Linked DNA regions of Arabidopsis thaliana. The protein of the gene in region 1 interacts with the protein of each later gene in a pairwise test. Each region holds a gene or a part of one and is shown in the gene's direction. Other genes may lie near its edges.

Region 1 (4,222 bases):
TAATAGGCAAAGTGATGCCCTGTGTTTAAAATCTCATCTTCGTCTAGGCCATAGAACTTGGAAGTCTTTGTAGCAATCTCTATATTGATATGTGGACTGGACTGAGATATATGACCCACCTTGGTGCAGTTCCTACATATCTCTATGGAGCAGCAGAAAAGGAGCAGTGCACCCTGGATTCGATCAGAAGAAAGCTGGGGTACTTCAAGGCAAACAGGGAGGGACATGAATGGGCAGGTGGGTTTGACCTGGAGATGGTGCCACTGAAGCCAGACGCAGGGCCACAAGAGGTGAGCAAAGCCAAAGGGGTTGTAGCGGTTGGGGCGTGTGGGTGGGTAAGTAACTATAACGTGCCTGTCATGTCAAACGATCTCAAGGCAGTGAGGAGAATAGCGAGGAAGACGAGCGAGAGAGGAGGGGGCTTGGCTTCAGTGCAGACAATGGCGCTGGTGCACGGGGAAGGAGTCATAGAGGTTGCCTGTAACTTGTTGAATCCAAGCCAAGTGGGGGGAGATGAAGTACAGGGACTGATCGAGAGGCTTGGCAGAGAGGAAGGTCTGCTTGTGGGAAAAGGGTATTATACGGACTATACACCTGACCAGATCGTTGAAAGATATATGGACTTGCTCAACAATTCATAAATTTCAAAGTAAAAAAAGTAAAAACAGTATGATGTTGTCATTCTTAGAACGTATTATTACCGACATCGATCATTTATCTTCATTTTGTGTTTAGATGTGATATACATTGCCATGAGTGACAATTGAAATTAGCAAAGATTAAATAAAAAGTGAAATGATAAAATGATGGTACGTTCATTGAGAGGCCAAAACATCAGATCTCATCATTGGTGTTTTTCCTCAACAACTGTGAGAGATTTGTTTTGTGTAGCCTCGTCTTTTGCCGTGGTTCTTAAAGCTGTTGTTTTCTTAGCATTTTGCCTTGTTTTGCATATATCTATATGGCAATGCATGCAAGTCATTAACTAATGTATAGTGAACTATTGGTAGCATCGTGACCATGTGGTAATTAACAATCTTTGTCCTTCAAATTTATATATATGGAGGTTGTGGTCTATATGATTTGTTAAAGTGAAAAGACAACTGGTTTTCTATTAATTTGGTCGTAGGTGAAATTCGAGGGTCAAAAGTCTCTAAAAACAACGTGGATGAGGTGGAGTTTGGTGCGGCTCGTTATTGACTTGAGTTCTTCTTGGTCATTTTTTTGGGTTTGCAACAAGGGGAAGGAGGTTAAAAGAACATTTATCTTTTTCTGTTTTATCACTAATTATTGTGTTGTTTTATTTGATATAATCAATCAATAGGTTAAAAGAACAAGAATAAATTAAAAAATTCGTCAAAAACATCAAAACGAGAACTAATTTGAAACACAATTTAACTTCTAAACGACAACTAATTTGAAACGGAAGGAGTATACGTTACATTTAGACAAAAAAAATGTAATTTATGACATGCCTACACACATTGACGTAGACAATTAAAGGTTAGGTGTGTCCTTGTATATGTGTATACATGTACATACATATGTATGGGCACATTGGAGTTGGGCCGCAATGGAGAATAAGGACCAGATGCGACTATCATACACCTAACTCTTAAGAAAAAAAGCATTATTTGTGTACATAAATGGTAGACCCATGAAACCTGTAGAGCTCAAAAGTCACAAGTAAAAGAGAGAAAAGAAAGAAGAGAAGAGGTAATTACATGTGGGTTTAGAGAACAACTTTACTTAATCTCTTCTCTTTTATCATCAACCAACCATATATGGACAATTACAAGAACACATCTATGTATGAACGTTAACGTAGATAATATTATAAAATATTATTCTAAAAATTAAAAGATTCACAATTCCCATGCCTCACGACTTGTATTTTTCTTTGGCCACCTAATTTGCATCCATCATCTCTCTGTCTCTATAGAGAGTTTCTTTCAAATCCCCTAAAACCTAGAAAAACACCAAAGTCTCTCTCTCTTTTTGTTTTACTCCAAAAGCCTTTTACCTTTGAGATTTTTCTATATAATTGTCAGATCCTTCGTTACTACTGATGCTAGCTCCTTTAGGGCTTTTTCTCGTTTACTCATGTCAAATTACCTTCTTGTCCCTTGGTGTTTAGGGCTCTGATCCTATATAATAATACTTCATAGGAAGGAGAAGGAGCCCTTCGTCGTGGTTTACTTGGTCCCGATCGGAGATGGAGAGAGAATGTGGGTCGAAGGAGTTGTTCAGCAAAGAGGAGCTACAAGAAATAAGTGGAGTCCATGTGGGAGACGATTACGTCGAGGTCATGTGTGGCTGCACCAGCCACCGTTACGGAGACGCCGTTGCGAGGCTTAAGATATTTTCAGATGGAGAACTTCAAATCACCTGCCAATGCACTCCTGCTTGTCTCGAAGGTTCCTCTTCTTCTCTCTCACATCTTTCTATATGCATGTTCCATGTGAATGTGTATGGATTCATGATAGTGTCAAGAATGCAATGTAACTGTTCTTTGGCCTCGGTGAACTATGAGGCTGCTTGTATTTGCTAGATGTGATATGTTTCATGCAGTCTTTTAGAGTGTGGGATAACCTTACATTGTAATGTATCTCCATTTTATATCACAAGTTCGAGTTTCTTTCAAAGTGATCTGATTGACAGCTTTCATTCTATGATGGTAGACAAGTTGACGCCTGCTGCCTTCGAGAAGCATTCTGAGAGAGAAACCTCTAGAAACTGGAGGAACAATGTTTGGGTGTTCATTGAAGGAGACAAGGTTCCGCTTTCAAAGACAGTGTTGCTCAGATACTACAACAAAGCATTGAAGAACTCTAACGTATCGAAAGTCATTCATCGGGATGAGTTTGTTGGGTGCAGCACATGCGGGAAGGAGAGGAGGTTCAGATTGAGGAGCAGAGGGGAATGCCGGATGCACCATGATGCAATTGCTGAGCCTAATTGGAAGTGTTGCGATTACCCATACGACAAGATAACATGCGAGGAGGAGGAAGAAAGAGGGAGCAGGAAAGTGTTCAGAGGTTGCACTCGCTCACCGTCCTGCAAAGGCTGCACTTCTTGCGTCTGCTTCGGCTGCAAGCTCTGCCGTTTCTCTGATTGTAACTGCCAGACTTGCCTCGATTTCACCACCAATGCCAAACCCATTTGACTTCATTTCTCTAACTTATTTAATTCTTCTGCAAAAACTTGTAATGTATGCTCTGCATTTTCTTTAATCAGTAGCTTGTTACACCTGTTATGCGAGTGGAGAGACCAAGTAGGGATCACATACTGGAAAAAAAACCGACTTGGGGCTTGGAAAACTAACTTAGCACCACTACGAGGACATGAATCTAATCTAAATTCAACCATATAACCTCGGCAAATACACACAAGGCAGGAGATCGATAACAAGAAGCAAGCAGTGACTGTAATAGTATGCTGAATAAACTATGTCAAGAATAAAAGCATGAGACAAGAGCAGCTACAAACATTTGGATTAGCCAATATGTACTTGGAAGGTGGACGACATACATGGAGAAATACCTCCAACAAAAATTGGTATCCAAACCAGACAAATAGAATGGAAGGAAATAGCTCGAAAGCATATATCAACATACGTAGTGAGACAATGATTTGCTTAAATCCTGTCTGTTTCAAACATAGGATATTATGAAACACAAAACTGTCAAGAATTTATCCATTGCAGACATCATCAGATCTCAAAAGTGATGCAAATTATTTTCAAAATGAAACACAAGACCAGTCACAATCTGCTAAAAGGGAAAACAAAGTGCATGAGAATGAGAGGTCTCTCCATAAAAGGTCTTCCTGGTGACAATGAAACTCATTGTGTACTCTCCACAGGCGTCTGCAAAAAAAACTATGTATAAGGGAAGGAACCCGAAGCCTCTAGGCAATGGAAGAAGAGCAAGAGCTGAAGAGCAAGAGTAAGTACCTCTTTTTTTCCCCCAGTGGCGAGCTTGTATCCACTGTAGAAAAGTAAGCCCCAGCCAGACAGAGAAATAAGCACAAACTGCAGATTGGTCAGGTAACAGAAGGAATCAATTCAACAAAAAATCACAGCTTTCATTAACAAAAACACAGTGTCACAAACACATGATTGATACATACATGCTCCTCTTTCCAGTTTCCTGGGTTCGTGGGCTGTTTCCAGAAGTCAACCTTGGTAGATCCATGGTGATCTGCACAGTACACAGACAAA
Region 2 (4,357 bases), 9.0 Mb from region 1:
GTGTAGGTGTTAGTGGAAGGGACATTAATCTAACAAAATCTGTCGATACAAAAGAGACCATGAAGCCAAAGGATGAAGGAGGAGAGGAAGAGGATGGAGAAAAATCCAAAAAAGCATCTGACGTTCATTTAAACATTCGATTACCTGATGGTAGTAGCCTTCAGGAGAAGTTTTCTGTGACAAGTATATTGAGAATGGTCAAGGATTATGTGAACAGTAATCAAACAATCGGACTGGGTGCTTATGATCTTGCGGTTCCTTACCCACGTAAGGTGTATACTGACCAAGGTACGTAAAATCTACAATGCATCCAATAGATTTTTATTTTTATTTGGTAAAGAACATTTTACCTTAAAACCAGCTTCATCTTGATCGAAGATGATGTTTTCTGCCATTTAGGTTTTTTTTTTTTTTTTTTCTGGTCAGTTTGGACTAGTGTAGTAGATACATAACTCCATTACTCTTAATCTCTGCAGATCTGGATAAGTCTCTATCCGAGTTGAGATTGTTCGATAGACAAGCACTTGTAGTAGTTCCGCGAAAAAGAGCAACCGTCTATCAAAGAGGAACATCTTACTCGGAGTCTAACAACAACACAGACCCTAATAGTGGCGGTTACTTTGCTTATGTTAGAAGAGTACTGTCTTATGCAAACCCGTTTTCATATTTTGGCGGTGGTACTGCCAACGCATCAAGCTCTGTTCCAGAACGTCAAACAAGTATGCGGGAATATGATGAGTTTATAAAATCCATTCTAATGCAGAAAGTCGTGTAATTGCTAATCTGATTCTCTCTTTTTCTATCTATAGGACCAAATACGGAGGTGAGAAACAATCTGGGGCAAGTAGGGACGTCCTTTCAAGATCCATCAGAAGGTAGGAGCAACGTTAGGAATAGGAGACCAACCACTTCTCGGATTGGAAGTAACATCCATACGTTGAATCACAATGAAGATGAGGCTCCGTTTGGTGATGGAAACGCTTTTTGGAACGGAAACTCCACACAGTACGGTGGTGGAAGCGGTGGAGACAGTAATGATAGACGATGAAATAAGAGAAGTTGAAATCTGTGTGGATAGATACAGAAACAGCTCGGGTGTTTACTTTTTATACTTGACTCTTTATGAACCATTTAAGAGACCAGCTGCAAAATGTATCCTGATGCGTTTCCGTTTTTTCGGTTGCTCGTATTAAATTTAAATCTAAAAAAACTAGCAATTTCTGTTTGATTAAATTCGGTTCTAGAAATTAATTAGTGTCGTTTGATTAACTTCGGTTCCAATCATAACAAAAATATTAGAGTTAAATGGTTGCTTAAATATAAGAATCTGTATATTCTTTTCTATGCAAGTGAAGACTTCATTGAACTGTGAAAAGGCGTTCACTGACAGCTTCTTGTTCTCCTAGCGGTTTCCCTTGTGCTCATCCTCACACCTTCCAAAATATTATCAACTCGGATAACAAAACATATATATGTGATCAACCAGACAATTTTTTAATATATATTTCTATAGTCAACGATGAGTACGCATTTTAATAATCCGGTGAAAGATTAGTCGGACTAACTAAATAATTTTTTTGACATATAATAAACACTTGGACCCCCCAAATTGAGCCTTAAGAAAAGACTAAACCAGTTCTATTAGTTGCGTACAACTAACGATGATCAACTTGAGTGATTTATATCGGAGATCGTGGGTAGTGATACGGGTCAACAATATAAGGATTTAGAGATCAATTAGGAATTGAAGTTAAACCTTTTCAATTTTCTTAAAGTTCCCTGATCCTTATTCATTCATCGTATCCACAACCATTCTTAACATTGCCCATGGCTAAGACGCTGGACCTCTTTTGGCACGAACATCCTTTATATGAAAAATATCGTATGTTCACTTGCCAAGAGTGCCATAGGAGTGCTATACCCTTCTTTGAAGTTTTTTATGGATGCTTCAGATGCAATATAAAATGGCATCCCTATTGCGTGCCAAGGTCAACGAAGAATATTAACCACCCTTGTCACCCGAACCATCCCCTAGAGGTTCTCCTCCAAGGGCCACCTAGTTACTCTGACGAGAAGTGCAGCCTCTGTCAACGGAAACTCTCCAACTTCGTTTACCATTGTAAGTTATGCAATTTCAGCATAGATATGGAATGCGGAAACAGGCCCCCGCCCCACAAAGTGGATCATCCAAAGTGCCACGAGCATGCACTCACCCTCATGGGAAGGGAAGTATCCTTCACTTGCAATGCTTGTGGTACGCATGGTGAACGGAACCCTTATGTATGCCTACCATGCTCTGTCATGTTTCATTATGATTGTATTGATCTACCACACGTCATCAACATCAATCGTCATGATCATCGCATTTCACATTCATATCCTCTCAAACGTGGGAATTGGGTATGTGAAATCTGTCGTCAAGATATCAACACCACGTACGGAGGCTATTCATGCAACAAATGTCCAGATTTTTTTGTTCATTCAAAATGTGCAACTAGAAAAGACGTGTGGGATGGGACCGAACTCGAAGGGATACCTGAGGAAGTAGTAGACGTTGCGCCATTTGAAGTGATCGAGGAAGGGGTAATTTATCATTTCTCCCACGAGAAACATAACTTATTCCTTATTGAGGATGTTTTTATAGATGGTGCTGAAGACATGCATTGTGAAGCTTGCGCCCGTCCAGTCTCTTCTGAGAAGCACTACAAGTGCGTGGAATGCAAGTTTATTCTTCACGAAGAGTGTGCGAATCTTCCTCTTACGAAACGACATGGACTTTCCACAGGTATATTTTATCTTCGCTTCGGGAAGGATTTTAGCGAACAAAATTTCAGTTGTGATGCTTGCAATAGAGATGGAAGGGGTTTTAGCTACAAGGATGAAGAGGGTGTGGTACTCGATGTGTTGTGTGCGTCTCTCTCTTTCTTCAAGCACCCCAAACTTCATCCTCACACGTTATTTCTAACCACAATAGATCGTGGTACTTGCTTAGCTTGCGGTGAGAATAAACTCAATGTGCTGCGTTGTGTTGATTGTGATTATTCTTTGGATTACAAATGCGCCACTCTACCATTAGTCATAAAGCATAGGTGTGATACACATTATTTAGTTTTGCGCTCTGGGGAGGAGGCGCCTGAAGGTAAATATTGGTGTGAAATCTGTGAAGCCGAAACCAATCCTGAAAGATGGTTCTATACATGCGATGATTGTGGGGTCGTGTGCCATATTGAATGCGTAACCGGGGACTTTTTGAACATAAAACCTGGAATAATAATGAAGAACAGGGAGAATAAGTTTGAAGTGGGTTTCAACGATCACGATTCTAGACCAAAATGCACTGATTGTGGCTCTCGTTGTAGGTTCCCTAGGTTTTTCAAGGTTACTAGAAAAAATATTGAGTACTACTATTGCTCAAAAGCTTGTTTTCAGAATGCGAAATTCTGAATGCCTGAAGGAAGGCGAAAGGAAGGATTTGGAAACATAAAAAGAATATGGGTTTTTACAGATGGAGGCTGTGTAATGTTTTTCAATTATTTTCAGATAAACTTGTTTTCTATATTTGGATTTATTGTTGGTTTGCTCATTCAGTTCATAAAACTATTTATGAGAAAGAGAGAAAGAGAGAGAGAGAGACTTTGAAGGTAATTATTCTTCACACCTTTTATTATAATTCACCAAAATTGGGATGTTTGTTCTATTCTTGATCACACGCCTCTCTGTCGCTTCCTTTTGACGTTTTCTTTCTTTTCTTAGCTTTTTCTTTTATCTTTTGTGTTTTCTGTCTTTTCTTTTCCGTAGTTATTTGGGATTCCAAATTTTTTTCATTCCTAAATTTCTCCACGAGCTCATCACCTCCTTTCGTCTCTGCCTCTCATTTGTCTACAAACATTTTTTCCTTTTGATTCGTCTCTCTGGTTTATTGCTCGTTGATCGTTTGTTTCTAAATTGCATTCTGATTTCTGATGGATCGTGATTTTCATCGTCGTGGTCAAGTGGTAAGCATTACACGCAAACACAGCTTTGATCATTAAAAATGTCATCTTATTTAAATCATGTCTTGAGATCACGTAATGGTCTTAGGTCAATCAAGATCAACGCGCAACAAATTCTAATGTTTTTACAAAATTTGAAAATACTTATCTACAAATGTATTTATAAAGAAACCTAATTTGCCTTTGTGTTGATCATGATAGACAATTGTTGTTATTAGCCTGTTGATTTGAAGGCAGAGTCCTCTGTTTTCCTGCAACATGTTAGAACAGCTCATTTATGTGTTTTGGTGAAAACGCAGGCGAATGATCGTACACAAAGCAACTTTGTTCGATTGGATAAACCGAGAGCTGTAGACGATCTTGAT

The links.
Region 2: the proteins of ULT2 (region 1) and AT2G43220 interact in a two-hybrid assay, tested with the Arabidopsis thaliana proteins (one large-scale study listed by BioGRID).

What each region holds. Positions count from the first base shown.
Region 1 is NC_003071.7:8,964,789-8,969,010, reverse strand, and holds ULT2 (Developmental regulator, ULTRAPETALA), read left to right. Parts: upstream 1-1,767; 5' UTR 1,768-2,215; coding exon 2,216-2,417; intron 2,418-2,681; coding exon 2,682-3,166; 3' UTR 3,167-3,455; downstream 3,456-4,222. Other genes in the region: AT2G20830 (folic acid binding / transferase), read left to right, coding at 130-641; AT2G20820 (uncharacterized protein), read right to left, coding at 3,774-3,868, 3,956-3,989, 4,132-4,202. UniProt on the Arabidopsis thaliana protein: Putative transcription factor that acts as a key negative regulator of cell accumulation in shoot and floral meristems. Negatively regulates the size of the WUSCHEL (WUS)-expressing organizing center in inflorescence meristems.
Region 2 is NC_003071.7:17,962,513-17,966,869, forward strand, and holds AT2G43220 (Cysteine/Histidine-rich C1 domain family protein), read left to right. Parts: upstream 1-1,706; 5' UTR 1,707-1,827; coding exon 1,828-3,444; 3' UTR 3,445-3,699; downstream 3,700-4,357. Other genes in the region: AT2G43210 (Ubiquitin-like superfamily protein), read left to right, coding at 1-288, 477-719, 810-1,048; AT2G43230 (Protein kinase superfamily protein), read left to right, coding at 3,963-3,995, 4,081-4,148, 4,258-4,357.